3 linked regions of the Schizosaccharomyces pombe genome follow. The main gene of each other region encodes a partner of the protein of the gene in region 2 in a complex. Each region holds a gene or a part of one and is shown on either strand. Other genes may lie near its edges.

The links.
Region 1: nup132 (region 2) and nup120 share a complex: the UniProt entries of both Schizosaccharomyces pombe proteins name them as parts of the npc107-120 complex.
Region 3: nup132 (region 2) and nup131 share a complex: the UniProt entries of both Schizosaccharomyces pombe proteins name them as parts of the npc107-120 complex.

What each region holds. Positions count from the first base shown.
Region 1 is NC_003423.3:4,012,197-4,022,761, reverse strand, and holds nup120 (nucleoporin, WD repeat Nup120), read left to right. Parts: upstream 1-3,911; 5' UTR 3,912-3,994; coding exon 3,995-7,405; 3' UTR 7,406-7,536; downstream 7,537-10,565. Other genes in the region: GrpE domain-containing chaperone mge1, read right to left, coding at 1-215; vma7 (V-type ATPase V1 subunit F), read left to right, coding at 1,140-1,275, 1,334-1,560; Fe-sulfur protein Isa2, read right to left, coding at 1,767-1,938, 2,008-2,453; Sre1 cleavage-activating protein Scap Scp1, read left to right, coding at 7,987-8,915, 8,973-10,565. UniProt on the Schizosaccharomyces pombe protein: Functions as a component of the nuclear pore complex (NPC).
Region 2 is NC_003424.3:2,773,171-2,783,758, reverse strand, and holds nup132 (nucleoporin, WD repeat Nup132), read right to left. Parts: upstream 6,472-10,588; 5' UTR 6,389-6,471; coding exon 6,205-6,388; exon of another isoform or gene 6,149-6,204; intron 6,141-6,148; coding exon 2,836-6,140; 3' UTR 2,706-2,835; downstream 1-2,705. Other genes in the region: serine/threonine protein kinase (CK1 family) Cki3, read right to left, coding at 825-1,790, 1,864-2,012, 2,073-2,142, 2,209-2,343; tRNA 2'-O-methyltransferase Trm13, read left to right, coding at 7,183-7,508, 7,588-7,624, 7,676-8,419; etf2 (electron transfer flavoprotein alpha subunit), read left to right, coding at 8,831-8,941, 9,014-9,667; serine/threonine protein kinase Ppk6, read left to right, coding at 10,546-10,555. UniProt on the Schizosaccharomyces pombe protein: Functions as a component of the nuclear pore complex (NPC).
Region 3 is NC_003423.3:970,208-980,893, forward strand, and holds nup131 (nucleoporin, WD repeat Nup131), read right to left. Parts: upstream 6,640-10,686; 5' UTR 6,426-6,639; coding exon 4,965-6,425; intron 4,931-4,964; coding exon 4,837-4,930; intron 4,796-4,836; coding exon 4,410-4,795; exon of another isoform or gene 4,371-4,409; coding exon 4,016-4,370; exon of another isoform or gene 3,975-4,015; coding exon 2,842-3,974; 3' UTR 2,815-2,841; downstream 1-2,814. Other genes in the region: serine/threonine protein kinase (CK1 family) Cki2, read right to left, coding at 750-1,712, 1,778-1,926, 1,994-2,063, 2,116-2,241; ilv1 (acetolactate synthase catalytic subunit), read left to right, coding at 6,902-8,911; TRAMP complex zinc knuckle subunit Air1, read right to left, coding at 9,322-9,945, 10,001-10,102, 10,152-10,373. UniProt on the Schizosaccharomyces pombe protein: Functions as a component of the nuclear pore complex (NPC).

The sequences.
Region 1 (10,565 bases), on a different chromosome or scaffold from region 2:
TTGTCCTTTGCTTCATATTTACTTTTAAGCTCAGAAAGCTTAGATTGAAGTTCCTTAACATCAACATTCTCTGTTTCGGCAACTTTTTCTTCAGCAGGCTTTTCTTCCTTAGCAGCCTCAGTTGAGTACCAAAGGAAACTGCGTTTATTAATGGGTGCTCGAATAAGCGTCCGAGGACGTACAGCGGATGAAAATACTCTTCCAAGCCCAAGCATTGTTTCAGTGAGAGCTTTGTGGTAAAAGACAACTGTGTCACACTATAGACAAATGGTGTTGTGAACTTAGCACTGTTAAATTTTACAAATATCAATTTCATCAACTTAAAAATTCGTTATGTTTCGTTAAATGAGGTATGGACTTTGAGATGGAAGCTGATTCAAAAAATATATAAATGACACTTTTTTCTCAAATTAAAGCTTCTATTTCGATATGTAACAAATTGATTGTAGGTTTGAACATGCATGTAGGAAAGCAACCCAAATTTCGAATTTGCTCAACACTGGAAGCCAACAACGGCTCATATGCTTATCAATTATTAATTTATTCTTTTCAGCTTCATTCTCAACAGATAATAATTAACTGATTTCTCATCTATATTTATATCCTTCTTGGTATGCTTTACGGCATTGGATTATATCGAAGTACTTACTTCGCAGCCTTTGAAAGTAAAATAATTGAATATTATAATTTAAGTTTTAAAATAATCCTATTTGTGTCATCTGGGCCATCTTATTATTTTTACATTCATCAGTTTATTTGCATAATGATATTTGTTGAACAATTTATGGGAGTCGAATTTTCACAAATTCCTATTATAATAATATCATATTCTTAATTACAGAAGTCTTCATAATAAAAGGTACCTTAGTTAAGTGTCAGATATGTCTTATCGGTATTGGACCTTACACTTTCATCCACCATCACTACTTAAACTCAGGAATACATTTGAGGATTGTAGAGGCAGAGCCATAGCTTTCTGTTAAATATTTATCTAAGCTTTGTGAAAATTTACGATTCAACCACTGAACACTTTTAATCGCCTACTAGTCCAGAAGTTGCGCTTTCAAGTAGCACCATACTCTCCTATTTTCCTGCTTGGACGTTTACCTAGATTTTCTAAATACTTATCTCTCTAAATCATGTCTTCACAATCATATCGAGAACGGACACTTGTTTCTGTAATTGGAGACGATGATACCGTTACTGGGATGCTTTTAGCTGGAACTGGTCAGGTAAATGAAAACGGTGACAAAAACTTTTTTATAATTACTCAGAGTAAGATTATCTGTTAAAAAATGGAATCGTGTTTTCGCTAACTTGCTGTTTTATGTAGAGACTACAGATGAGCAGATTGCTGAAGCTTTTGATGATTATACTACGAAAAGGAAGGATATTGCGATTGTATTGATTAACCAGTTTGCCGCTGAAAGAATACGTGATCGTATTGAAAACCATGTGCAGGCATTCCCTGCTGTATTGGAAATTCCTAGCAAAGACGATCCTTATGATCCTGAAAAGGACAGTATCCTCCGTCGTGTTAGAAAGATCATTGGAGAATAGACTATTAATATTTAATTATATTTTTTGAGCAATAATTTCAATTAGTCAACAACTCGATCGATTTGACTGATGACACTTTTATATTTGTATCTTTTGGTTTACTTACTGGCATACTAGCAAAAAATTGTAAGCAGAGTTTTTGTTAAACTATATTTGATAAATAGAAAAGTGATTATAAGAGAAATGTATTATTTTAAGTATAAATCTCATTCAACATCAAAACTGACATTACAACCACAAGAAGTCTTGGCACGTGGATTGTTTAAAAGTTGAAAAGAGGAACCAATAAGTTCATTTGTATACTCAATTTCAGAGCCACTTATCAAAGGTAATGAAATGTTGTCAGCAACAACCCTGGCTTTTCCACGCACAAATACCCTAGATATTTAGTCAATAACCAGGAAATACTTAATTAAAACTTATAGTCTTCTTAACCACATCACTTACGTGTCAGCATTTCCAATTTTGTTGTCCATGCGAAAAGATACTTGATATCCATGGCATCCACCACCATCGACAGTGACGCGCAAAACAGAGTTTTCTTCTGGTTTCCTTTCTGCAATTTTTTCTAACTGTTTTTTCGCTGAATCTTTCACGTATAAAATAAAAGGGATTCCCTTCTCGTCACATTGCTCTTGAAGCGTGAATTGGTCGTTCGCAAGCTTTGAGCTATAAAATCGATTTTTGATTTTGAATTCATTATTTATTTTGGGAAATATTTCTTTCGTTAATGTATTCGATTTCGCATCAATTCTACATGATCGAGAATTTCTAAGCGATCCATGCGATAGCTGTCGAATTGCGATCACAGGATTTAAGAGTGTTTGAAAACAACGTTCTCGAAAGAAAAATGGTCCTTTAAACAATAAGTTTACTCGCGATTTCATAAGCATCACTGCAAAGTATTATAGCCACAAGTTAGGACTTTCTAACTTGTAAACATACAGTAACGTAATAGAAGTCAAATTGCCTACGCTCTGTTTCGTTAATTCAGTATATTCCAAATTGGTGCTTATGTTTATGAGATAGAGAAGTTAAGTACATAAATGAAATAGTCATAACTTGACGAGTGTGTCATAGACTAAAGTCAAATTCAGGGATTTACCTATTAGTTAACACCCAATCTCTAAGAGATTTATATCGGATAGATTGAATTCGAACTTACAAAACTCTCACACCCATAGCTAGTAGAGAATAAGGGGAATTTATCAAATATATCTAGAATTATTTAATGTTCTTTTTTACTTATGTTGTATGCTACTAAATTTTGTGATGATTTATAGTCAAAATTAATATCTTTGGATTATTTTTACCTTTTGGTACTCCTACTCCTTTAATTCTCTTTCAGTTTTAAATGAATAGATTTTTAGCTATTAGAGATAATTTCAACCCATTTGGTTAATTCTTCTTCTGGATATTTATTGTCGATCCTTTAATTCTAGCATAGACCGGTGGATCACATCCAGAAAATGTCTTTATCACAATTGATGCCATTGCTACAATCTTCTACTTTAGCTAATTCTTTATCGTGATACCAGTGTATGTACTACCGCTTAATTACTATAAAGTTGCGGGTGTTCGTACAAGCACATATCACCGCAATTGTAATATTGAATCAGGTATAAGAGATCTTGGCTATTAGACTTAGAATTGGTTGTATCTGCAATAAAAAAAATAAATTATAAATTGCATGCCAATGAACAATAATTCACCCTTGCACGTAATTAATATTTATTAAAATGTAATTTACAATTTAACGTATGGTTGAAAATATTACATGTTTTATTTACTAAGAATTTGCAAAATTTAAAAATAAACAAAACTAGAAAATTAGAAAACTATTTTATTAAAAAAGATTGAAAGGCTGTAAATTAAGACCCTAAAGATGAGTACTGTTAATTTAAATAGATTTAATCTCTTAAAACAACAGCTAAAAAGTTACAGGTATACAAAAAATAATAAAAAAAACTAACAATAATCTAAGAAAGGCTTCTGATATCTTGAAGATCTTTTACTGTTGTATGTAATTTCACAAATAAAATAGAGAATCCATTTAAGCTCTTGAGTTTTAAATGAATATTTGATTCCTTTTTTATTATTATGAATACAAAGGAATTGCTCGATTAATAAAAACTATCAAATTGTTTAGCTTTCTTCATCCACAATCAAATGATTCTATTTTATTAAGGAACTTAATCTTCAAGAAGAAAATTCAGTTTTACATTCCATCTCCCTCTACCCTAAAAAGCTAAAGAATTACAAATATACTCGTATTTACGCGTTTCTCATAAATTCGTTGTAGGACTGGCCTGTCTTACGCTAACTCGTGTAGGTCGTTGTCTACGATACTCAACCAGAACTGCCCCCTATTGTTAGCTATTTGTTTGGTATTTCTACTGGTATTACCGCTACCAGTAAAAAATAAAATCAAAATATGAATGAATTAAAGCATGCGGTAGTTCCGATAGACTTACAATCTTTTTGTCTGGAAGGAACTTTGGCGTTGTGGGTTCCAGCTCTCGAAAACGACTCGGAAGACGATTCTGAAGCTATAGAAACAGCTGATGATAATGAAAAACTTTTTAAAAAGGAATGTGTAGCATATGATGCAGGTGTTTATACCTCAAATAAAAGCAAAGGTTCACAAACTTTACGATGGAGTATATTCCAAAACAGAACACTCACTATCTTTGATGTTTCATTAAATTCTAAGAAGGAGCCTTTATCAAAATTTAATGTGAAAATTCATTTTCCATCCAACGTAATGAAGGACGGTGTAGCTTTCTCGTTCAGTGAGCATTCCGACACGACCATTATATATGCTATTACTCACGCTCGCGTTTTGTATTATATTAGATTATCTAAAACTTGGTTCCAATTACCGGACGCTCGCTTAGACGACGATTGGTGTCTTTGTTACCGACCAATATCCTTTCTGAATCAAAAACCCGATTTAATGGCCGCAATTAGCACGTCTGAAATTTGTGTAAGCTTTTTCAATGGAGGTTTAACAAAGATTATATTAAATCCAAAAGACGCTAGTCACTACGAACAGCATATTGATGATTCTAGTTATTTGTTTTCCCTAAAAAAATATCTATCACTTCAGGCATTTAAGGCAGATTACCGCTCTCCTAATACTATTATTTCAATGATTTTTTTGTCTACCTATAATGTTCTTGTGATGCTATCGCTTGACTATAAGTTAAAAGTTTTGGATTTGTCTACTAATCAATGCGTCGAAACCATTGAACTGTCACAGACTATACTTCCTCTACAATCCTTTCCTTATTTAACTTCAGATCACACCACTAATTCTTTCATCGCTCTGTATTACCCAGATAATTCTCATGGCTCTTTTTCAATTTACAAACTTAACGCAAACGCCCACTCTTTTAAATTAAATGTTGTCATCGAGAAGGGCATAATTCCTCCTTCTTTACCAGACGATGAGTTCATACCATGGATGCTTTCTGATTTTCAACTGATATCGTCAGAGGGCTCTCAATCTAAATTTTTGCTCATTATTGCTTGGAAAAGCAACTTAAATACCGTTATCCAAAAATGCAACCTTAGTCTAGATCAGGACGAGAGTTTTTCATGCGTTTGGAGTCACTCTTTGGATAGCTTTTCCCTCATAGAAAAAACCTTTTTTGACGTTCCAACAAACATGTCGTCTGGGGATATCTCAGAGATTTGGCTACAACACATTTTTGCACATAATACATCTATTGAGTCTATACAAGTTGCTCTTTTAAGCTTTCAAAACAGCTCCTCGCAAGTTTCAAAAAATAAACTGGATAAATTTGGCGCACTTACTATAAGTGAACTTAAAAATGCCGTTTTGTCGTCTATAGTTTCAACGATCCAAATAGAGCCAAATTCAGATTTAACTGGATACGATTATTATGAATATAAGCGGCTATTATATAATGAATGGGAAAGGTTTGCGAAACTTGTTGCATATCTGGATCATTTTGGAGATGAAATATTAAGTATTAACTTCGATCCTTCGAACGCTGTTACATATATCAATTATGCAAATAAAGTGGCTTTTATTAGGGATCCTTATCTCATTGAATCCTTTGACGAAGAGCCGTTGACCAAATTAATTAGTTCCCTTGAAACAGATGATCCTTCTCTAATTGAAGGTTATCAAATTCTGGATCTTGGTAGGAGTTTACATTCCTGTATGTCATTTTCTACTTTATCTGAAATTAGATACTCATTACGAGAACTAGTCCAGGATTTGCCATCTTATTCTTTATTTGATACATTGTGGGTATTTTATGACAAGCACATATATCCCAACGTCGATCCAGATTATATCAGTACTTTAATTGATACTCTAGTTTCTCTTGAAAACCCGATGCGCGACATTGATTCTCTTATCCAACGCTTAAGAAGTTTCGATATTTACAACCATTCCGCTCAATCCCCTTCCTTATTTTTGTGTGCATCGGTAGCACGGGTTTTGGACAGTATTTTGAAAAAGTTTCAAGTCTCTATTGAAGGATTTATTTTTCTACTTTCTTTGATAACTAGCCAGCAGGATTATGAGTTACAATCCAAATTTGCAGGATGTGATAAATTATTTCTTTCTTTACTAGAAGATTGGCGTCTTGTGAGTTTTCTTTTAGAGAATTCTGCACTTTTGCTAGAAAAATTTGAGGAGGAGGATGTTGATTCAACAAACTGTAATTTAAATACTATGGAAGCTTTAGCAAGTGTTAACACAGCCCTTCAGTTTTTTTCCGCTTTGAATTATTCCGAATGTTTCTCAGAAAGCCAAATTTCACCTTTACATGCTACCGTGATATCGTCTTTGTCGGCAATCTTTATAAGGGACGATACGGAAAATGATCTGGTCACTGAACTTGTAGAAAAGTTGTTTCTATTCAAACAATATAATGCATGTATGCAATTAATAGGGTGGCTTAACTCTGACCCAATTGCAGTCTACTTGAAAGCACTTATTTATCTCAAATCGAAAGAAGCTGTTAAGGCTGTCCGATGTTTCAAGACTACTTCTCTAGTCCTTTACTCACATACTTCTCAATTCGCAGTTTTACGGGAGTTTCAAGAAATTGCTGAAAAATACCACCATCAGAACCTATTATCGTGTTATTACCTTCATCTATCAAAAAAGCTGTTCGAGGAGAGTGCATATATAGATGCATTAGAATTTTCTTTATTAGCAGATGCCTCGAAAGAGACTGACGACGAAGATTTGTCTATTGCAATTACCCATGAGACTTTAAAAACCGCTTGTGCAGCAGGAAAGTTTGACGCTGCTCACGTTGCATTGATGGTTTTATCCACTACGCCTTTGAAAAAGTCATGTTTACTAGACTTTGTAAATCAATTAACGAAACAAGGTAAAATAAATCAGCTTCTAAATTATTCAATGCCAACGTTAAGACAGGACGTCGACAATTTGCTTGAGCGAAAGGCCTTTCAAATGATTAACGTTGAATCACAACCATGCTGGTATAATATTTTGTTTAGTTGGCGGTATAAACATCAAAACTATCGAGACGCAGCAGCAATTATTTATGAAAAACTGAGCCGGTATATCTCTACTACAGAATTAATTGGAAAAAAGGAGAGAACTTTTATAATAGAACATTATTTGATTGTTTTGAACACTCTGGAGTTGCTTCCGAAAGAAGATACATGGATTCTTGTGACAGACATGTCCGTGGACAAGGAACCTGACCCTAACTTTCTTCCACAAAAATTACTTACTCTAGATGCAATTGTAGCAGAATATCACTTACAGTTGAAGGATGTCGCTGTTCAAGTTACAGCTGAAATGTCATCGGCCATGAATATCGATTTATAAAGGCAACAAAGAATTATTTACGCAGCTTAACCTTCTCATTTAGAAAAATCCAGAAAAAAAGCAATATGCTTGGCAGAGTTTTAGTAATTAAATCATCTTTAGTTTCATTGAGGCGATGGGTAGCCATAAATAACTAACTTCTTTCTATAAAATTAAATTCTGAATATAAATATACTTTCGATAGCATTGGTATTTACATATCTTTAACGAATTATAATTCCGACCTTTTTGCTGCAGCTTGCCGCAGTTTGCTAATTAGTGTTGTCCGTTGGGAAATATTGTTGAGATACGGCTAGTATCGGCAGAATGTTGGAACCAACAATAATTATATATTTGAATTTTTATTTCCTTATTTTATAACATTTTTTTGAAACTTTTGGTTTCAGATTAAATAATTCTCTATTAATAATAGTGTACGGAAATTGCACGCCGTGTGCCCGAATTTAAATTTGTCGGGTCCCGAAGGAATGTACAAAACACCAAGACCTGCGAAAACTGATTCTCAGTGAATTGGGTATATCGGTCTTGTAAAGATCTAATTAATGAACGTTTACCAATGTTATTGAACTGAAAATATCGTTATGAGGATTTTTACTCTTGGAAAAGGCCGAATTTCACGAGGGTATGCTCGGCAAGTTAACCCTTCATTATTTGCCAAGTACAGCTACTGTATTGCCAATAATCCTTGGTATTTCATTCTTGTGTTTACTCTTTTATCAATCACAGGTATATATTCGTCGTTGGTAGCGTATCAGCAATCCCTTTACGATCAATCATTAGCTAGATGGTCGGCTTGGTATGCCGAGAGCATCAATGCTGAAGCAAATGTTATTACGAAACAACTCTATCTTTTAGGAACGAACACATCAGTGTTTTCCGAAGACTATCTTTCAAACGCGTATCGTTGGGAAACAAGCTTCCATCAATATTTGGCGGAATACGGGTATCCTTGCATAAGAGATGAAAAATCCTGTGTAACTATTTCTCCAATACCAAAATATTATGGTAAGGTTGATCCTGTAGCTCAATATTCATATACTAAAGGGCTTCCTGAAAATGAGCGTGAAGTGAACAAGCTTAGGAATGATACAATAGCCGAAGGTTTTGACTCGCTTAGTGCTTTTGTGATTACTTACTTTTTAAAGCCTGAACAAGTCGATACTTTTCATGTTGTTTTAAAGAAATTTATTTCCGAAACTCCTAATCTATATGCAAGTTTACTTGATACATCCCCTACCACTGTCGTAGCACGTATTCCTGACCTTACTGTTATTTACAGATGGTACCTATGGGTTGGGTTTGGAGTCGGACTTTTTGCATATTTGTATTTGTCACTTGTGCGGTTGCATGATATTCGTGCTAAATTTGGTCTTACAGCGACTATATTTATTCAAAGCGGTACTGCCTACTTCTCTACCTGTTCTTTGCTGTATTTCTTTGAAAGAACGGGCCCCATATGTCCATGGCCTATGGCTTACTATATTATCATATTTATGGACATTGAAAACTCGTAAGTTTTTTTGCTATACTTCGTCATTATGTGAACGTTTTATTACTAACTTATCAGATTTCGACTTTTACGCGCAGTAATCGCTTCTCCTCAGACGAAGCGTGTTCCTTCTCGTATAATGGAAGGGTTTTCTAGTACTATTATTGCCTCCTTTTCATCCTTACTTAAGAAGTTATTGACTCTTTTTGTCTTGAGCTTCTTTGTTTATCCTCTGGTGCAGGAGTTTTGTTTGTTTCTTGCCTGTTCTTTCGTCGTTAGTTTTTTACTGCATGGAAGTTTTTTTCTAGCGGTCCTAAGTGTCGATATACGTCGTTTGGAGTTGCAAGATTTTTTAGATTCAAACTCTTCTAATCGAAACTCAAAATGGTGGGTTCCGTATCTAGAATACGTAAGATTCATGTGGTCTCCATGGATTATCGATAATCTTGGTACTGTTTCATTTCATATGTACGTTATTTATTTACAACTCCAATCCAGTACAGATATCAATGGGTCTTGGAGATTAGCATCTCCTAACATTCGCTTTCTCATTACGTTATATCATCGTTTAGGCCGTATTTTACGAGAACGAAAGTTATTTCCACTGATTACGACCGGTTGGTTTGGTGACCCCACTTTTTTAGAAGCATTAAAAGAGAAGACGATGGCGGAAAACCTTGTTATTGCTTTGTATCGACCAGTTATTCTTGACACTGTTAACCGTCGTGATTACACTAATGTCTACAACTCGTTTCATGACCGGAGAGTATGGAGATGGTCAACATTTTTCAGCATACTGTTCGCAATTGATTTTGCGGTTGGGTTGCTTGTTAAAGCACTTTTGCGAGGCTGGTCTGACCATGACGAGCTTTCAACCGATACAACATTACATGAGGAAAAATTCAGAATAGAACCCGTTCCTGTTCATCATCAGCTTGACATTTTAAAAATTGCTGTATCTGAAAACTATAAGACGTTTGCCTCCGTCGGGTTAGATAGGTGTCTTGTAGTTTGGGATTTACGTCAATGGTGTACAAAGCTTGTACTTTCAAAAGAACAAATGCCCAGGACGTTAAAAGCAATAGCTTTAGATCCTCAGGGAAACTACGTTTCGTTGTTCTCAAAGGATACTTTATTCATTCTGAATGTAGAATCTCCTTGCTTGATGCTTCAACATTCCTATCACTGTAAGCCAAATAGCAAATTAAACGTGTTCTGGATGCCGGGTACGCATAAAGATGATGAATGGAAAAACTTTGAGCTAGTGGTTGTTGAAAGCTCAGGCGAAATTCAGGTTTTTAGTCTGACTATTGAAATTGAAGGTGCAGATATAGCTTTGGTTGAAAAGTTTCAATTAAGTTCTCCGATTATTAAATCAATAAGTATCGTTTCACCCACGGCTAATAGAATTGCTTGTTTGACTGAATCCGGTGAAGTGACTGTATATTCTAAAAAAGGACCCGTCTGGTCCCCAAAGATTTTATCTCAAAACAAAAATTATCTAACAGAAACAAAAAAAGATATTTATGGAATTGCAATGGCGGACATTTTGTTTCTTGCTCGAGATAGTGGTGTCGACATGATTGACCTTAAAAACGATGAACTATTACATTCCTTTACACTGCCGCCGATAAAAGTAAACACTTTTTCAGTTGGCGTGAGTAACAGTCG
Region 2 (10,588 bases):
TTTTTCTTTCTTTTAAAATACTTTAAATTCGTGTGTAGAACAAGATTTTATCTTAGACAACCGTAGGTTGCCAAATTATCGTGATATCCTATTGACTCCTTTTGCAAGCGATGAACGGACATGTTAAAAATTTAATATTTAATTTATATAATTTGATAGATTTGTCTCAATACTTCATGGCAGTTAGAATAAAGTAAAGTACATTATCCACGTTTACTGACTATAACTTTCTAGCATGATAAGATAAATTAAATATTCACTATACTTCACCCAAAGTAATTGGAGCATGTTCTTCTCAAACATCTTTTACCTTATGAGTCAACATTTGGTAGCTCAGTGAAGCTTCTGACTATTTATGTATATATCGATATAACTTACAATGAAAAAGTATGACAGCTGCAAATGATTCAAAAGTAAAATGCAACGACAAGGAACATGCTTCTACGCTCTTCAATTGCATATGATGCATAATGCATTGGAGTAATAATATGAATCTATGTATATAAGGTAGGACAACAATTAGTACTAATTAGAATCAAAATCTTCATCCTCAACACGTTCAAAAATTTCAAAATCAAAAAGAATGCCAACAAACACAGAATCTCATCTAGTGAGCATTTTTTTTTTGAACAACAGTAAGCAATGTAATTTAAGCAGCCGGGATTAACGTCACATTACGATTCCGGAAGAATTAATTTAAAGAAGGAATCGTATGGACGTATTATGTTGCAAATTGTAAGCGGATATTTAATAATGGGAAAAAAATAAAAAAAGTATCGACATAACAGTGAAAGACAAGAAGGAAAGACGTTGAATAATCATGACTATTCTTGTTTCGATATGCAGCAAGACAGTAAGCGAAGATGGAACTTCTTTCGTGATTTCTCTTTCGAGGGCGCAGGCTTAGCAGCTTGTTGAGTGTCTACCTGTGTAGGCTGGGTAGTCTGAGGAGCAGGTTGCTCCACCCGTTGCGGTTGCTGCTGTTGAGCGGAAGAAGTTTGCTGTTGTTGTTGAACTTGGGGAGAAGCCGCTTTCCCTGGTATACCATCTTTCTGCGTCGCAACACTGGCATCAACCACGTTATTGACTGGAGTTTGCTTACTTGGGCTAGAGAGCAAATTCTGGCGAGTACGAGCATATGGAGGAATAGTTGACTGCCGCCTGTTATTAGTACCCTGAGTATGTCGACGTTGGACGACATGTTGCTTAGCTGCACTGTATTGCCATCCTTTTCCGTTATTTAGGAGAGTCCAATCATACTTTCCGTCATCAGTTTCATTGATGCGAAGCAGTAAACTGTCGAACAGACTTCGTAGGTAGTCATAATCTGGAGCTTCTTCGTAACCCAAATTCCGAGCATAAATCATGTACTGTAAAAATTCCTTTGGATATCCTTCGCATAGCTCTTTCAAAGGAGTGACTTGTTTCTTTTCACCAATTTTTTCGTATTTTTGCTTATTTGTAGCAGCTTTCAACCCTTGCCAGGGAAGACTACCTCGAAGGAAATACATGAAAACGTGTCCCATGGATTCTAAATCATCTCTTCGTGATTGCTCACGACCAAGATGTGTGTTGATAGACATATAACGTGCAGTACCAGATAGACTCTTATGTTCATTATACGGTCTATGAACATGAGTTTTTGGATCTCGATATTGCTTAGCCATGCCAAAATCGACGGCATAGATAACGTTTTCGGTTTTGCTTCCAGGGAACCCGATTAAAAAATTATCTGGTTTAATGTCACGATAAATAAAATGTCTCTCATGAACAGATTGAATACGGGTGATCTGATTAACCCTGTTAAAATGTAATCACATAAAGCCAATCCGACAACAATCGGATAGACGTTTACAAACTTACCATTTGTTTTGCAATCATGGCAACGGTTTTAGGACTAAAACGTCTGCCACAATAATCAAAAAGGTCCTCTAAACTAGGTCCTAGAAGATCCATGACCAAAAGGTTGTACATGCCTTCTTGACCGTAATAATACACGCTCGGAATTCCAGCTAGGGATAAATGTTAGGAAATTGACGAAAATCAGTATAGCAACCATAGTGAATACTTACGCAAACCCATTAGTAGCTTATAAGTAAGGTATTCATCACGAAGTTGAGGAACCTCGCTTTTTCTGGACTCCTGTGAGAATGCAACGTTAGTACTGAAATTGAGAATCTGGATTGCTCTCTAAAAATAATTACATACAAATTTTAGGGCAATTGGCTGATTATTGATTAAATTTACACCTTGAAATAACATGCCAAAAGATCCTTCTCCAATCTTTTTACCAACGCGGTAATGAACACCAACGACGTTGGAGTGAGACGAAGTAGTTGACATGATGGTCTTTTAAATATTCCACTATGTTAAATGCAGTTTTCTTTAAAATGTTTTTGATTAAAAGAGCGTTCCGGTTTGTTAAATGTTGATGTCTTTCGCACTCGAAAGTTAAAGATGGTTACGGGTAGAAAAATGAAGTAGATGCCGCTAAAATCCACAAAGATTCCATGAAAAACACAAAGAAAGTGACAGTTCAATTATTTCGTTTACAGTTGACAACCTCAGAGGAATCCGAGGCAGCCAACACTGTACTTGGTAGTGGACAAGTAAGCAGTACTGGGTTTTCCACCGATATACCAAGCTAGCGTAGTATAAGGTTGGAAAGCTGAAAATAGATATAATGGTATACTTTCTAGTTTGAGTTAGTGGTAAACAAAATTTTATTTTAGATTCATTAGCTAACAAAATTGACAATGATCAAGGGACTCGGATGAAACCTATCTAACCAAAATTCTTTTATTATCTAATGGGTTTGTATGATTAAGATAAAGGTTAAATCGTATCGCAACTTAAACACATACTAATATAGCAAGTATTTAAATTAGTTTTTGTAAGATAATGATCCAACTTTACGCTTTCACGATTAAGTACTTTGGTAACTTCAGTCACATCTCCAAAGCGAGCGGGTGGGTAAATAGAAATGAGATTTTGAGGATCATATCCTTCAAACTTACAAGAAGAAAGCGAACCAGGTCGGATAAGTCCTTCATGAAAAAGTCCGTTTATGGTCACAGCCTCTAGAGTCCGATATAGTGCTGACATTCGGAATTGGGTTTCTATAATTGCATCGTTTTTACCCTGGGTATCCAAAACTTGGATCCAGTTGTCATGTAAAACAGCTCGTCTCCAAATGGTATTTTCATAAAATCTCTTGGCATCGTCCGTTAATCTGGTGGTTAAAAGAAGACGCAAAGCAAGATAATAGTCGGTAACTTCACCTTCTACAAGGTCCTCTCGACGGTATAAAGAAAAGCTGAGGTACTCCAACAGTTCAGTTGCTTCAACCACCTGTCCGGCAATGAACTTTTTGACTACGCGCTGCATAACCTGACGAGCGATAACAGGCGCTACCTTGGCACCAATCAAATCATCCACAACAGCTTCTACAAGCTGGTATTTTTTCCCCTGAGAACGAAGCCGTTCAACGACTGGCATAACACTTTTGGAAACCATTTTTTGAATATGTAGTTGCTCAAGCTTTTGTTCCACTAAAACCAAATCTCTGATATTTCCAGAGTTGGATGGAACTGCATAAAGAAATAATTTACTTAATGAAAGCTCAGATTCCTTTTTATCAACCAGCTTTTCTTGTTTAGTAGCCAACTGTAGCAATCTATGCGACGCAGCATCGTAGTCTCCTAACCTCATATCATGCATCCATGAAATCTGGTTGTAATCTCGAGATTTAAAAAATTGTTTCAAATAAGATTTGTTGAACCTGTCGCTATTAAGCAACTCTAATGCCATGCCATTTTCAACAAAATAGTCATATAATATAAATGCGAATTTTATACCAAAAAGATCAAGGTAATTGTTTAGTGCATCCGTGAGCTCATTGTCCTCATAAAGTTGATAGCACAATTCTACTAAAGAACGATAGTCTGAGTATTTTTCAGCGATTCGAATGGCACTGCTGCCTTTACCTATATCTGATAAAGTTTGAACCCAAAATCTGCGATTAACTGCAAAAGCTTCCTTGACATCTTGAATTTCACTAGCATCCTTACCACAACGTTGTTCTATCCATCTAATCCTTTCTGAGTACGCGTCAAAGCAAACCTCTGTCAAGGCCACTAATTGTACTTCTAAATTTGAAACGACATTTCTTAGCACCCCTTTATCCTTTATTTTAAAAGTATTCTCCACATCCGAGGTTCCTTGATGTGACTGGACAAGCGCTGACCGAGTAAGTTCAAACTGTCGACACAGCAAAACTAAAGTTTCTGGCGTTGACGTCCAAGGAACCTCTTCTCCAAAGGTATCAATACTTAGCTTATAAATCTTCTGGGACTCACGGCGATAAGCCAAAGCCGAAGATTGAATTGCCAGAATTACTTCATTAGCTTCCATAATTACATCAAGAACTTCCAATGGAAGTTCTTGAACTCGAGAACCTGAATCTATGCAAAATTCATGTGCTTGCGCTATCAGTTGATCAATGCTTTCAATATTATGCAAAAACCACTCTCTCAAAGCGTTATCCGACGAAGCACTTTGAGTGAGTCTATAAATTATGCGTTGAAAAATTAGGGAATGACTAACAGTACTAAATTCAGTATCGATAGTATTCCATAAATATCTAACAGAATTGCATTTTTCGCCCATTACTCTCAACTTGTATAGTACTTGACGATCAACATCCAGTGACATAGACCTAATATACCGGACAAGATTATTCAAAGAATTTAACCTACAGGACAGATGCTGCATTAAAGAAGCAAATAATGGGGGTAAATGAGTAGACCTTGAATTCAAGATGTCCATTCCAAGATCGACAATAATCCTTTCGAGTTCAGGCTTTTTGATGGAGCGAAGGTAATTGCAGGAAAAATCGATCGGATTACCAGGAAGGAAGGAGTAAAAAACAGCTTCTTCCAACTTGCTTTTTACGAGAGATTCGTTATTTGCAGGATGCTCCAAACTATGAACTTCTATTTCAGCGATACCAGAATAAGGGGTTGCTATAAAACATGATTCCGTAGGAATAGAGTATTTTCCTAAAACGTATTTGTAGCAAGTAGACATAAATATGCCGCCAGAGACATTAGTATTCATACGAATAACCTCTTCCCATGATGTTCTCGATACAATATCTTTATCATCCTCTTGGACGTGCACTATAATAACAGCGTCTGTTAAAACCACAAATAAAGAATTCCCTGATGATGAATAATGTAGCTTTGAAGACTCAAGAGATTTAGAAGAAAATGAATACAATGGATGAATATTCATTACCGAGGGTGAGGAAATGTCAGAAAAATCAAGAGAAATAATCATGTAACGGTAATTAATAGAATTTTTCCAACATACTAAAAAACTCACTAGATTTCCGTTTGTGGGGCATATAGTAAGGTCTAACACCTCAAGTCCGCTTGCATCGGGGCATCCTTCTCTCAAAACCTGCTTAAAAATAGGAGACAGATTCATACCAGAAACAAGCTTATTTTCCAACTTCAAATCATATATCTCTAGTAAACCAGATGCCTCAGCGACATACAAAAGATGTTGGTATGGAGAGAACAGTGGTGGGGATTTTAAAGCAATGATATGAATGCTAGGGTAGTTAAAAATCTTCATTTTCTGAAGAATAGTAGAAAAAGTACTAATATCGGAAGCAAATAATTGTACAGAAACGTCAGGTTGACCTGCAGGATCGCGCAGTTGAACAGAAAAAAGACGACCAAAATTGGTAGATATGATGAACTTCATGGGGTTTGAGCAACATAAATGCTCACATTTTTCTTTGGGGAGTAACTTTATCAAACTTTCCATTCCCTGGGGACATATATAAGATTGAGCGAGAGCATTCCCAATTGAAGTCCAATATGCTATACGACCAGAGATAGGCATTACAATCAGCAATCCAGGTTCTTTGTCAGAAGCATCAGAAGGGACGAAGGCTGTCAAGGCATTTTGCCCGGAAAAGCCATTTGAGTCCTCTTCAGGTAGCGGAAATGTTATAGTTGGAGGTTCTGCTGTTCCCAAGCTTTGACGATACGACAAAATAAAGCAAGCTTTTCGGGAATTAATTAATGCATAACCGATGTCTGTGTAGCATGATCCACTTAAAGGATGGTCTAAATTGAATAGAGATGTTAGTTACCTAGTAATGCGCACAGTGAAGAAATAAAAGCTTCGTACCGTTGATAATTTTAGAATTAAAATGTTTAAGTAGACACGAGACCTTGAAATTTTTAGATCTGAGCCAATCCAATGAATTATTATAGGCAGTGCTATCCAAAAGCGATTTCTCAACAGAAATTCGTTTCAAAGGGCTAAAAGATACGACTTCTTCATTTTTCCTTTTACCAAGGATAGAACTCATGACTATTTGACGATATCAGTACTGATACTGGCGGTTATCGTCTATTTGACTCCTTAATACCCTTAGGGATAGAATATGGCTCTGAGAAGGACGAATGTCGACGATTCCTACAAAGAAGGGTTTGAAATCAAAAGAACTTTACTTAGACTCCTATTTTTTACTCAGAATTAAATAGTTAAGCTACTGATAAGAAATTCAGAGTAAAATCAATATATCAATATTTCAAAATCGGTGTATATGTCATATACACTTTTTTCACAAATGTCAACACAGTTTGCTCTTTTGTAATTAATTATTTCTTTGCTTTGGTATATTTAAGGAAGTGATACTTAGGATATTGTCTTTTCCCGGAATGTTGTATAAAACAGAGGTTTTTAAAAAGTAGTTGCGTTCTTCAAGGTCAAGCTTAAACTACTTTTTTAGAACGCATGATCAATTTATATAAATGTTTCATGATTCCGTATTTGAATTTTTTTTATGAGCACGCCAATGGTTGGAAACATCAGATTTCTTCGTAAAATCGCACATCTGGTACAGAAAACTATAAAAGTAGTAGAAAGTTTGGGACTGGGTTGGAAACAACTGTAATAAAGAGAAAAACGCGAAAATACTTTATTTTGAAGTGTCTGAACTGCCGAATCGGAAAGCTATTTTTCATTAGTGTTGTAAATTATCCGAAGGACTGAAAAAGACCAAATTTTACAAGAAAAATAAAATTATTGTATTTTAAGATTTACTTTTGTGATCAATATTCAGGCTAATATCACTTAAGAGTTAAAAAGTTATCTAACTTGATGGCACGAATAAAAAAAATTTTTACTCAGGAAGAATTAAAACAAATCCCCTGTCCATATGATCACAAGCATACAATTGTGCGACATCGTTTAGAATATCATTTGAAGCGTTGTAACGCGCGTCCTGTTGAAAGGACCGATCCATATTACAAGAAGGACATAAATATCTCTACTTCAACAGATGCTTCAGAATCTTCCTCCTTTGAAATCGTCGATTTAAGCAAGGAAGAGTTGTCAAAATGGATTTGTTTGTTCAACAGAATTAGTGATTCTTTACCGACTCCTCAAAAAAAGGTGTTGTTTCACCCGGCAATGAATGCAAGACTGTATGTACGAAGTGCTTTCTCATTAGCTTTTTATTAAGAAGATGGTTGCAAAAGTAGAAACTAACTTCATTTTTAACAGTGAAGAGGGTACAAAAAAAAAGCATGCAATTCAGCAGGTATGTTCGACATGATTTCTTAACGGCAGTCAAAAGCATTAACCATTTTAGGCATCATTGTTAGGACATATGGAAAAACTACATTATTTTGACAACCAAGGATCTATATATTACGAATTCGGTGCTGGAAGAGCCGAGTTATCAAGATATGTTCAGCACTGCTCCCAACAAGAAAACGTATATATACTTATTGATCGTGATTCAAATCGAACGAAGCATGATAGCAGGATATTAAAAGATAGCATCAAAAATAACTGGCCTGAGCCAAAAATTATAAGGTGTAAAATTGATATTAAGGATTTGAAACTCGATTTTTTTGCTAGTGAATTTCGGAATAGTGGTAAACCTGTATTTGCATATTCTAAGCATTTATGTGGTGCTGCCACAGACCTTACCTTGAATTGCTTAAAGTCCTCCCCTCCTAATGCTCTTGTAATTGCCCTTTGTTGTCATCATCATTGCCGATGGAGAACACTTTCAACCTTTGCTAGAGAACAATTAAGTCATTGGGGAATTTCAAATCCACAAGAGTTTCAAATATTACGACAGATGACTGGGTGGGCTGTAAACAGTTTGCGTGAGCATATGCATGCTTCTGGAGGAGCCGACTCACACATCAGTGGTCTTTCTCATGAGGAACGCGTAAAAATTGGGTTGAAGTGCAAGCATATTATCAATTACATGAGAAAATTAGAATGCGAAAAAATGGGTTATGAATCTTCTCTCGTATACTACGTTGGTGAAGAAACGACTTTAGAAAATGTTGCACTCATCGCTTATAAACGAATCAACTAAGTGAATTTCCTTACGTGAGAAAAGTAAGAAAATTTTTTAAATTTGAAAAGATTGCACTCAAAAAAACTAGAATTATTTTGTACTTTTTTGAAGTGTGAGATTGCATATAGCAATCTGATAGTTAAAGCAAATTTTACTTTTTTTTAGCAATCATGATTTCTCTTGAAGTTGGAATTGTTTGGAATATGTAAATTTTGATAGACATTATTTCCTCTTACTTAAAATTAAAAAACTTCCTAACTAGTTAAACTCGGAAATTGTGCAATATTTAAATAATAAAAACTATTTTTTTTAAAAAGTATAAAATTAACAACATTAATAAATAATATGGAATATGTATGAAGGTTTCATATTCAACTTTCTACCTTCTTCAATTCCAGTCTTTGACCACCGCATAGCAATATCGCAAAAATGTCGAAAATTCGCATTTTAGTAGGAGTCAAGCGAACTCTAGACTATATGTTAAAGCCTCGCATCAATGCCACTAAGACTGCTGTTGATTTATCGGGGCAAAAAATGAGTGTATGTTGAAAGGAGAGTAATCATTTCAGTACTGCTGTAATTCGCAATTTATATTTGACTAATCGTGAAAAGATTAATCCATTTTGTGATATTGCTGTAGAAGAGGCTATAAGGATGAAGGAAACTTTGAAAAATAGAATTGAGGACACTTTAGTAGTGACCGCAGGACAAACTTCTTCTGAGCCCATTCTTCGCCAGTGTCTTGCTAAAGGAATTGGCCGAGCAGCACTTATAAATGTTGGCGAAAAAGAACTTGAACCTCTTTCAGTAGCCAAACTTTTGAAGGCAACAGTCGAGAAGGAAAAAAGTAATCTGGTTTTGCTGGGCAAGCAAGCTATTGATGATGATGCACACCAAACAGGTGGTATGCTGGCTGCTATGCTTGGATGGCCTCAATTCACTAGCGCAAGTAAAGTCCGTATTGAAGGTGACAAAGTTATCGTTACAAGAGAAATTGACGGCGGTGAAGAAACCTTAAGTAGTACACTTCCAGCCATTATTACCACCGATTTACGTCTTAATGTTCCTAGATTCGCGAATTTGGCAAAAGTTATGAAGGCAAGGAAGGCTCCTTTAGGCAAAATGTCTCCCGAAGATCTAGGCGTAACAATTGATCAAAGACTACAGACTGTTTCAGTCTCCGAGCCTGTTCAAAAGAGACAAAACATAATGGTAAAGAGTGTTGATGAAATGGTTAAGACATTAAAGGAACTTGGCGCCCTCTAAGATTTTTTCGTAAAGTAAATACCGTCTTGAAATTTGCTAGATTTCATGCTCACTTTTCTTATATGCAGAGGTTTCCCATTACAAATAAACCTTACAAGTTATTTCTTTCTTTTGTTTTTGTTTGAACACTGAACGCTTTGAATATTTGTTAAGTTAAAGAAATTCTTTGATCATCGAAATATTCGTTCTCGTTCGTAAATTTCAATTCACCTCTGTATTTGCTTTGTTTATTTCAGTAGAATCGGTATTCATATATTATTTTTAAGCCCCGTCAGTACAAACGTTATTAAACAACCATTGATTGAGTTACATCTGTCATAATCAATAAAATTTTAACCTCTTCCACTCTATAATATTTAGAATATAAATCTATGTTTTTATACTTTATTCATGAATGTTTGTAGCGTAATCTCTGCCACCAAAGTAAGCCTAATTCCTCAACCGCAAGTAGCCTTCATCACTATTTAGCCAGGTATCATGCAAGTTAGGTGTTTTCAAAAACTCCTTCCTCTTGACTATCGAACTGATTGCTAAATAGAAATCAATTTTCCCTTAAAAATTCAAGTCAATTAAATTGATTTTTTAAGCCCTTCAACCTTAATGTTTGGCTTCCTTAAGTTGTCATACTACTTAGTTCACCAACATAGACAACCCAGCACATTGCCAACATTTTTATAGACGTGTTGAAACTTACAATTTACAATTGGTTTTGATGCTTTTTGATTTCTATGTTATCTAAAATCTTTATTTTGCTTGCGATTTCGTCTGAAGAGAAGTGTTTCTGAAATCTACAAATTTTGCAGAAGAAATTGAGTAGCTCAAGCAGAACCCTATCCTCCTGAAATTATTTCTGGATAGTGTACGGAATTGATTTTTAGATGTCTCAAGGTTTGTCTTTTTGTGTCCAAAAACAGCACTAAC
Region 3 (10,686 bases), on a different chromosome or scaffold from region 2:
AAAAAATAAAAATTACATACTATGGTTTGACAGATTTTAGCGTTAGTTTTTGAAGAGGTCGTATACAGCATATTAGGTATACGCTGCAGTAATTATAACCCAATAAGTCAAAATTTTTTCTTTATTTGTTGCTGATTGTTTCCTTTACTAAAAAGGGATTTACCATTACTCAAAAGAAATTACCTAGTTTCCAATAAATCATATGGCATTTGTCCAGTTCAAATACTTTAAGACACGTATAGTTTATTTTTTGAATGTCCAGCTAAAAAATATATTACACGAATCAGTATAAAAAGAATTCCTTTCTTTTATTCTATTTATTTGTAATTGAAAACGAATTAGCTTCCGTTGTCATTTTACCAATTGTTAGTACCTAGAATACATATGGTTTGGTTATATATGTGTATGTATATATTATTTACTACAATAGTACAATGTCAGTTTTAAGACAATATTGAGTTATGTTAAAGGAAAGCAACATTAAAAGATTAAACGAGAACCAGCAAAGTAGGCTAGTGCCAGCAAATTTGCAATCGAAATAATTAAAGAATTTGATTTAAGCACCCGCTCAAAGACGCTATACAGCGTTTCTCAAATTAATATTAAAAAAAGATGAACCATTTATCCCGTACTCTGAAAACCAAATCATCAAATGATTGATATTGTGAAAGCATATCTACCGCATAGTAGAACAACACTTATTTAAGTTAAGAAAGTGAGTGACTCTAACAATAGTTGAAGCTTCGAAACTAAGAAAAGCAACGACAGCATATCATATCAAAAAATCCTCCTTTTGCTTCCGAATCAGAATTATCGTTAGGATGATTTACTCCGACTGCATTATTCGAGGGCTGAGATACATACATAGGTCGAACCCTATCGTAACCTCTAGAAGAATGAGCATAAATTGTTTTTTTAGAAGCAGACTGTTCTTGACGCACCAATGGAGCGTTTTTGCTCGGCAACGCATCGAACGATGAGTAATTTCTAGGACCTCTCACCCCATATGAGGATTTAAATCGCATGTTCTGTGTTTGCAAAGTACTGTTCTTTTTTCTGGAATCATCATTTTGAACAACATTTAAGCCAAGGTAATTCTTTCGTCGCTTCATAGCAACAACAGAAAAATGAGAAGAGCTTGACTCCCAACCTTTACCGTCATTCAATAACATCCAATCATAAACCCCATCATTCGTATCACCATTTGCTCGAAGTACATCATCAAATAACTCTTGTAAAAACGCATAATCCGGTTCTTCATCAAATTCTAACGAACGCACATAAGTCATGTATTTACTGAATTCATTAGGAAATCCAGCACAAAGCTCACTAATGGAGGTAGATTGCTTCTTTTCACTAATCTTTTCGTATTTGTGCTTATTGTTGGCAGCTTTCAATCCTTGCCAAGGTAAACTTCCCCTCAAAAAATACATAAAGACGTGTCCCAACGATTCTAAGTCATCGCGACGGGATTGTTCACGTCCAAGATGCGTGTTTATACTCATATATCTCGCAGTCCCCGAGAGGCTTTTACGTTCACTATATGGTATATGTTGCTTGGTTTTGGGATCACGGTAATATTTGGCCATACCAAAATCAACCATATATACCATGTTTGCATTTCGAGAGGAAGGTCGGCCTATTAGGAAATTATCGGGTTTGATGTCTCTATAAACAAGGTTTTTTTCATGAATCGTCTGAACTCTGGAAAGCTTTGAAATGTCAGAGAAAATTTAAACAAATTGAAAACCTTATAGGAACAACTTAGGAAACTTACCATCTGTTTCGCCGTCATAGCCACCGTTTTGACACTGAATCGACGACCGCACCATTCAAATAGGTCCTCTAAACTAGGTCCCAGTAAATCAATAACAAGGATATTATGTAGTCCTTCCTGCCCGAAATAGTAAACATTAGGAATGCCAGCTATTTGCAAATACGGTTAGTACCAAAGTCTTGACCATATGTTTTGGGTAGCAAAATAAAAACATACCATTTCCAACTAGTAATTTATAAGTTCTGTATTCATCACGGAGCTGAGGTGCCTCCGACTTTTTGGGTTCCTAACGTCCATTGTTAGTATTGTCCATATACTCATCCTAACAAAGAACATACAAATTTTATAGCAATAAGTTGGTTATTCAAAAGATTCATCCCATCGAAAATAACACCAAACGATCCCTCACCTATTTTACGACCCACGCGATAGTGAACCCCTACTACGCTCGTTTGGGAATTCATGATAAATAACCCTGTCACAAGGAATTGACCGAACAGATAAAATTTTTTTTATTGCAAGGACTATGCAGTTTTTATGTAGTCAATTTGTAGCCTCACTAACAAATGCCACACAAATCTCAGTTTGTTTTCACTGCATTCACCACAGAGATTGAAGTCCAATTGCGATTCAGTAGCCGACCAAAAACAACAAAATTTAGAAAACCAATTACTATAATTTAATAGAAGTTACAGGCTTTCTTTCGACTAACAAATGATTATGTGGTTTGAGTGTTTTAGTGGACGTTAGTTGTAAGGTGTACTTGGATGCAACACACTAGGCCTTAGCTTAATTTCCAACGTAAGGGTGAGGCTATCCAGGACAGGGAAAAAGCCCCGAAGGCGCAATCATCATAATAAATCAAGAATCTATAATAAAAAAATTTAATTATTTTAAGCCGTAAATATTCTAACCAGTGATTATCTAGCATCTACCATCGTAAAAACGGAGTTGTCGGAGCTGAGGCTATACGATAGATTATACAAACATAAGTAGTACTAGGTTTAAACAGGTGTTTATCGATTACTGAGGAAATGTAAAGTAATATATAGCAAAATTTCATTTCATTGTTTTGTTGCTACGTCCAGAAGTTTCGGAATCAGAATGTATAACTCTCTATCTTTACATAGTACTGAGAAAATTTGCTTTTCACGAAAAAGCTCCATTTGATAATCTTCCACTTGCGACTCAGAAAGTGAAGAATATACACTTTGCAAAAAATTTTTTTCCGATTTCAAGTAATGTTTACTTTCGTCGTGAATATTGTGTTCCATATGTTGTAACCATATTAAAAAGTCTGATTCTAACATAATTTCCTTTACCATTGGAAAAAATGAAGATTCTAAATCTTCATGCGCATCGATGATTTCTGCCCAGTTCACCTGTAATAGAAAACGGCGATATACGAGATCTTTTAAGTAAAAATACACGTCCTTAGTGATTGTAGCTCTTTCTAATAACTCTAAGGCCAAATCAACTTCTTTGAATGAACATTCCCGTAATGAAAAAGAAGAAAAGAAATCTACCATCTCACAAAGCGTAGTGTATTCGTTTTGAATTAATCGCTCAACAGCACTAGACACGAGCCAGGCTCTGATAGAGTTTTCTGATAGATTTACACAATTGGAAGTTACTATTGCTTCGACAGCTTCTCCCTCGTCTTCTGTAATATCCACAAGTGATGAAAGCATTTCAGCATATTGCTCTTGAATAAGCAAAATGGCTAAATGATTTTCAATCACCTCAGTCTCATTTGACAATATGATATTTTCACCTTCAATTCTATTAGTCCATGAGTAGAGCTTTGCTAGAGCTAACTGCGAAATTTTACCGATAATCCTGTTTTCTTCTGGTTCACAATCACGGAAAAGAATTTCGGAGGCTCGTCCATAATTTCCATTTTGAGCTTCAAATATCCACAAAAGATTCAATAAATCATTGGCTTCAAAAAAAGATATTAAAAGTGATTGATACTCCAAGAAATCATGAAGCAAAGACGCATACTGCTCTGTATCAACCAAATAAAAAAAAATTACATCTGCGAATTCTTCTTTGTATTTATTTAAGCATGCTTTTTGCTTTTGAAGCTTAATGGTAGGATCCTTTGGATCTAGACAATCCAGCAAAATTACCATTGTCTGAAAGTCTTTAACTTTTTCCGCCAAGTCGATTGCCTTTTCCAAATATCCGACAGAAGCTTCTTTGTTAGCGGAAACAAGAAAGTGAGAAACAGCTTACCTAAATATTGTAACCATTCTTTTCGTGAATTGCCAAATTCTTCTTCAAATTTTTGAAAATTATGCGATTTTACTATGGTATCATCTGTTCCATTGTGCAAATCAAAGATCAAAAGGCAATTTTGTTCCACCAGATGCAAAATCTGCTTCCGAAGCTTGTTACTGACTTTTAATATGTGTGCATCTTTCGAGTCACGTACATCGCGATGCAATGATATCGAATCTTCGATCTGTTTTCGTAGTAAATCTAAGTGATCAACTTCAACTGTCCAAAGGTCGCTTCTAATCACAGAGGATGGATCAGTAAATTTTGATATTTTTTCTTGCCTATAAGCAAGCTCATTTCCAAAGATAGTCTAATATTAGTAAACCTCGTTATTTTATAAGAAACATACCCCATAAACGTTATTAACATTTACTATTACTTCAATTCTTTTTTGTGCGTTGCTAGCATCTTGGCCAGATATTTGAGAATATTCCGAGCTTAAATGCTGTAATAACAAATTTATATTCAGGCACTTTTTCAAAAAAAGTTCATCAATATTATCATTTGAAGACATTATTTTCAATACTCGTCGAAGCAAGTTAGACATTTTTTCATTACACATCAATAATTCATATAGGTCTGCCAAAGCACTGCAATAGGCAACTTTTAGCCATAATTGAAGTCTATTAGAAGGAGATAAATGTAGGTATTTGAAGGCAACAAGAACTATTTCCATCAAGTCACGTTGCTGAGAATGTAGTGTTTCTAATACAGACATATTTTTTTTACATGGCGCTGATTGCAATTAGTAATATATCATGAAAAAATTATCTTACTCGTATAAAGTTCATCACAAAGATTAAAGACTGTATTATAGACTTCGCTTTCAGAGAGGTTGTATGTAAAGTCAAAATTTAACAAAAATTGTTCCTATATGTTAGATACGAAAGAATTAACAACTTACACGGAACAAAGGGCTTTGCGATGCAAACTGGGAGAGACGACTTCGTAAATAGGTGGTTGCACTAAAGCTGGTTTTCAGGTAGCTAGCAGAAGATTCAATTCGGATTATACCATGCCCTTCTGTTAACAAGATCAATGCTGGAGTTTTTAGTAAGGTGTGCGTAGATTTTTCATATATCGCATCTTCCATGCCAAAATCCAAAACCCGAGATTTGGAAGTTAGGTTGTTCACAACCAGGTTTTCTTCGACATAAAAAGTGCCTTCTTTCCCTCGCACTTTATGAAACATAGCAAAAGTGACATCGAAGACGCAAAAAACAACTGTACCTGGACTTGGTAAAAATATTCGACACACTGATGGAAGAATTGCAGAAAGATATGAGCGTACATGGCAGAATTGTGAAACATGAGGTATCATCTGATGGTTGAAAGAAATAATGATTGCAGCATAATTGAATAATGAAGCATTATCACGCCAGGAAACCAAACAAGCTAACGTATAAGGATCCGAGGTTGAAACAGAAAAATCAAGGATTAGAAATCGATTTACGTAGGAAAAGGATTCCTGAATACTATCTAAAATTATATCATAAATGTCAAAACCACGTAACAAGTGGTGATCACCAGTCCCGAATATTTCCCAAATTCGCAATGTGCTTCCAGAATGCATAGAATAAACTAATCTCTCACCAGGTCCTTTTATTGAACCACAACGTATTGGAATAACTCTTCCTGAAGTAAATGCAAAGATACTGTTGTATAACGACAGCAAGCAGTTGGGGATGTGCAATCCAGGAAATAGGATTCGAACCTGAATAGAGGAATTGCCATCGCTATCTTTTAAATTCAGATGAAGCAACCGACCTGAACTCAGAGTAAGGAAAAAGCCAGCAGGCTCAGCACTAACCAAATTTTTACAGCTTTCATATCGTTTTAGTTGAATCCTGTAATGAAGAAAACCAGGAAATTCGGGAGCAGAAACCTCAACGTTCATCAAAGAAGTTCTTTCCCAGTAGAAAAGGTCGCCCGAAGCAGGCCACAAAAGTAAAAAGCCAGGCTCTGCTGATGTTGGATCTGGCTTAACAAATCCAGCTAACGGTGGGCTATTTAGACTCTGCTGATCTAGAATACCCGTAAAACGTTCCCAATCAAAGCATATTAAGTTTTGGGGCTGACTTCCATAACCAGCAATCCATGCCTTTCGAACTTTGACACTAATATACAAATAATATTCCAAAATAGAGTCAATTAGTCCAACAACTGGCGCATCATGGATTGTAAAATTGCCAACCTTAGGAGCAGATATTTGGAGTATTTTGTACAAGTCATTTGATGCACAGACTTTCGGGTATTCTGAAGTAGCTAATGTCTCATGTTTGTTTCCGTCGGCAACTTTTTCATGTTTTCCTGCAGGCGTAAAAGCTTTTTCATTTTGAAAAAACCGTCGATGTACAATAAACATTGCAATTCCTCTAATAAGAGGCTCACTAATGTTTAAAAAAGCGAAAGTATCTAAGATCTCTTACGTGTTAAACAGATTATGCTCAAAGATAATTCTGACGATTTTCTAAGCTGAATCGATAGGAAACTTATAATTTAGGATCAAGAAAAATTTATTTGACGTTTTCCAGCATTTACTAATGTTTAAAAAATTAAGGAGACATGGATAAATAGATAAATTGTATTCCTACATCATCTGAACTTTTTAAAGAATAATAACACGACTTCAAAGGGTATAGTATTATGCATCGGTATATTTAATCTCCGGGGTACAGTACTTATCGTTAACAAATCTGATCTTTTTTGTGGTGGTGAACAACCAATGTTTTTAGGCAAAAATGAACCTGCTCACTTCTCATACCGCTCAGCATACCGATCTTTTGCAACTTGAAAGATAGCTCTTTCTAGAAAGGAATTGAGGGTTAAAAGTTATTTATAATGACTGTGCTGGCTCCCCTTAGAAGATTGCATACGAGGGCGGCTTTCTCGTCTTATGGACGAGAAATTGCCCTTCAAAAGAGATTTTTAAATTTAAATAGTTGCTCAGCTGTGCGGAGGTATGGCACCGGCTTTAGTAATAATTTGAGAATTAAAAAATTAAAAAATGCATTCGGTGTCGTTCGGGCAAATTCGACCAAAAGCACCTCTACAGTGACTACGGCTAGTCCTATAAAATATGACAGCTCGTTTGTTGGAAAGACTGGGGGTGAAATTTTCCATGATATGATGCTCAAGCATAATGTTAAGCATGTATTTGGTTATCCAGGTGGTGCTATCTTGCCTGTCTTCGATGCAATTTATAGATCTCCTCATTTTGAATTTATCTTGCCAAGACACGAGCAAGCTGCTGGACATGCAGCCCAAGCTTATTCCCGCGTTACTAAAAAACCCGGCGTTGTATTGGTTACTTCTGGACCCGGTGCTACGAATGTGATTACCCCGATTGCTGATGCATTGGCCGACGGTACTCCCCTAGTTGTATTCTCTGGTCAAGTAGCAACCAGCGCAATTGGTAGTGATGCATTTCAAGAAGCTGACATGGTTGGTATTTCTCGTTCATGTACTAAATGGAATGTAATGGTCAAAGATGTTGCTGATCTTCCCCGTCGTATAGACGAAGCTTTTGAGATAGCTACTTCTGGACGCCCTGGCCCTGTATTGGTTGACCTTCCCAAAGATGTCACTGCTAGCGTTTTGAAGGAGCCCATTCCTATACTGTCTTCTGTACCATCAATGAATCGCAGAATGAAGGAAGTCTTAGAAGAGGGCTCCAAGAACGTTACTGCCAAGATCGATCGTGTTGCCAATTTACTAAAATTAGCCAAGAAGCCTGTGATTTTCTGTGGGCATGGTGTTTTAGCTAATCCCGAATGCCCCACTTTGTTACGCAAGTTTAGCGAAAGGCTGCAAATTCCTGTTACTACTTCTTTGCTTGGACTTGGTGCTGTAGATGAACGTTCTGACCTTAGTTTGCATATGCTCGGTATGCATGGTAGTGGATACGCTAATATGGCCATGCAGGAAGCCGATCTTATCCTTGCTCTTGGTGTTCGCTTTGACGACCGTGTCACCGGTAACGTAAGTTTGTTTGCTCCTCAAGCACGTCTTGCTGCTGCCGAAGAGCGTGGCGGTATTATTCACTTTGATATTTCACCCAAAAATATCGGTAAGGTCGTACAACCTACTGAAGCAATAGAGGGCGATGTATACGAATCTCTAAAGCTTTTAGATTCTGCTACTAAAAATATTAAAATTCCTTCCCGATTTGACTGGTTATCTCAAATTCAAACATGGAAGGAACGCTTCCCTTTCACTTTCACTCGTAGCGCTCCTGGTGAATTGGTAAAGCCTCAAGAAGTCATTCAAGAACTTGACAAACAAACTTCTGACATAAAGGACAAAGTCACTATTACCACCGGTGTCGGTGCACATCAAATGTGGGCCGCTACATTCTATCGTTGGACAAAACCTAGTTCTTTGGTAACCTCCGGTGGTCTCGGTACTATGGGATTTGGTCTCCCAGCTGCCATAGGTGCTAGCGTTGCTGCACCTAAAGATATTGTTATAGATATTGATGGTGATGCTTCATTTTCAATGACTGGTATGGAACTTGCTACCGTCCGTCAATTTGATATCCCAGTTAAAATTCTTATCCTAAATAATGAAGAGCAAGGCATGGTCACTCAATGGCAAAACTTGTTTTATGAGAAACGCTATTCTCATACTCATCAAAAGAATCCCAACTTCGTTAAGTTGGCTGACGCTATGGGCATCAAAGCACTACGTGTAGAAAAGAGAGAAGATTTGGCTAAAAAAATGAAGGAGTTTTTGTCAACTAAAGGTCCTGTGCTTATGGAAGTTTTGGTTGCCCAAAAGGAACATGTGTATCCATTTGTCCCTGGTGGTAAGGCTCTTCACCAATTTATTTTGCATGAAAGCCTTTCATAAATTTTTTTGATTAATTTAAAAACAGCTATTTTGTAAGAGTCAGATGTAACACTTATTTAAACTTGCGTTAATTATCGTGTCACATTCTTTTAGACTCTGGTGGGCGGTTTGTCATTATTTACCCTAAAGCAAATTTGTTTGTTTTGCCTTGTTATCTTCGATTTTGGTTGTTTTTTTTTGTTTTGCTTTCTAACTATGGTTTACTCCGTTATCATAGCTTGTATTTAATTTTGATGATGGAGGTCAATAACATTACAAATTTTGCGAACATAGCAAATGAGAGTGTATAAAATTAATGTACATATATTTTAGATTTTGCCAATAAATTTTAGTAAGATAGTATTATCAATGAGTGCAATGCAATGTGAGCAGAGCGATACACCATGCGATGAATAATACCAGCACATGAATTACCATTTTCGTTTACGATTTTTTTTTGAAGTTTTGGTAAATTTTCTTCCATCTGAAGAATGAAAGGATAAATTGCCATTCTCCTCAGAAGGTGGGCTATGTTTTCTTTTAAAGCTTTTTGGCTTAGATCCCAGCCTAGATGCTAGAGAATTTCCTGGTTTGTGAAAAGGCCGTTGTTTCGACGATTTTTGATTTCGATTCTGCTCTCGCCTCTCCAATTGAAACTCTTTACGACGGGTTTCAAAAAACTCCTTGTTAGATGCATCATTTCCAGAAGGACAGTTCGCTTCACAAAATGCAGTGCTTTCAGGATAATTTGATCTAGATGGAAGAGTACAGTCGTCTCCAAAATGTTCATCAGATGCACAATTATAACAAAACTTTCGAACCTCAGAAACATCAATGCGAACAGGATGTTCTTTTTCGACATAATACCTCCAAATTAAAGGACACGTCGAACTAGTATGAGTATCGGTATGACAAGTCCGACAAACTCTAGGTCCTCTTTTTCGCGGCTCCGAACATCGCGCAGCTATATGACCCAGTAGTCCACAATTCATGCACTTCTTAGTCCAGGGGCATCTTACGGAAATATGATCATCAATTGCTCCACAAGTCGTACACTGTAATACAGTTAGTAACACTATTAAAAAAACAATGTCCGATCAAAATGCATACCAGAACATGAGGACAATCTTTAGATATGTGACCATTCCCTTTACAATTATGGCAAACTATACTTTCTGAGGGATCTGACCCGAAGTATCTACCCCTGCTCACCTAAATTTTATTAGTAAAAAGTATTAAAAAAAAACTTTTCAATCCATACGTCTGCCCATTCACTTCCTTCCACATCTTCCAAAGTACTATCGGAAAGATCCGTAGAGGAGTCATGGTCATCACTTCCTTGAAAATCATGCTTTTCCAAGCTCACCGAATTTGTGATACTCTGGTCAATCGGTAAAGAATTAATTTTTTGTAACAAGGCCGCATCGTCGATGTCTGAACCATCATCACTTTCTGCTTTTTGGTTTGAAACAGTCATGTCCATATATTGACAAGCAATGTAATAATGGCAAGCACAGTTTTCTTTAACACTTAACAGCCGGCCAGTAGTTTACTTCACAATATTCCCAATCAATTTAACAGTTTAAAAGCAAATAAAACATAAAACACTTCAAGTATTTAACTATCAAATGGAAATTTAATAGTTTCAGTAAAGGCAAAAAATTTTTGGTTAAGGTGTGAGTATTCACCTTACATGGATTATATCTGGCTTTCTCATGAGAAGTTTATTTCATTGAAATGAGCATGACAATAAATGAAATTCAATAAATAACTTATACTCCAAATTACAATTGTTC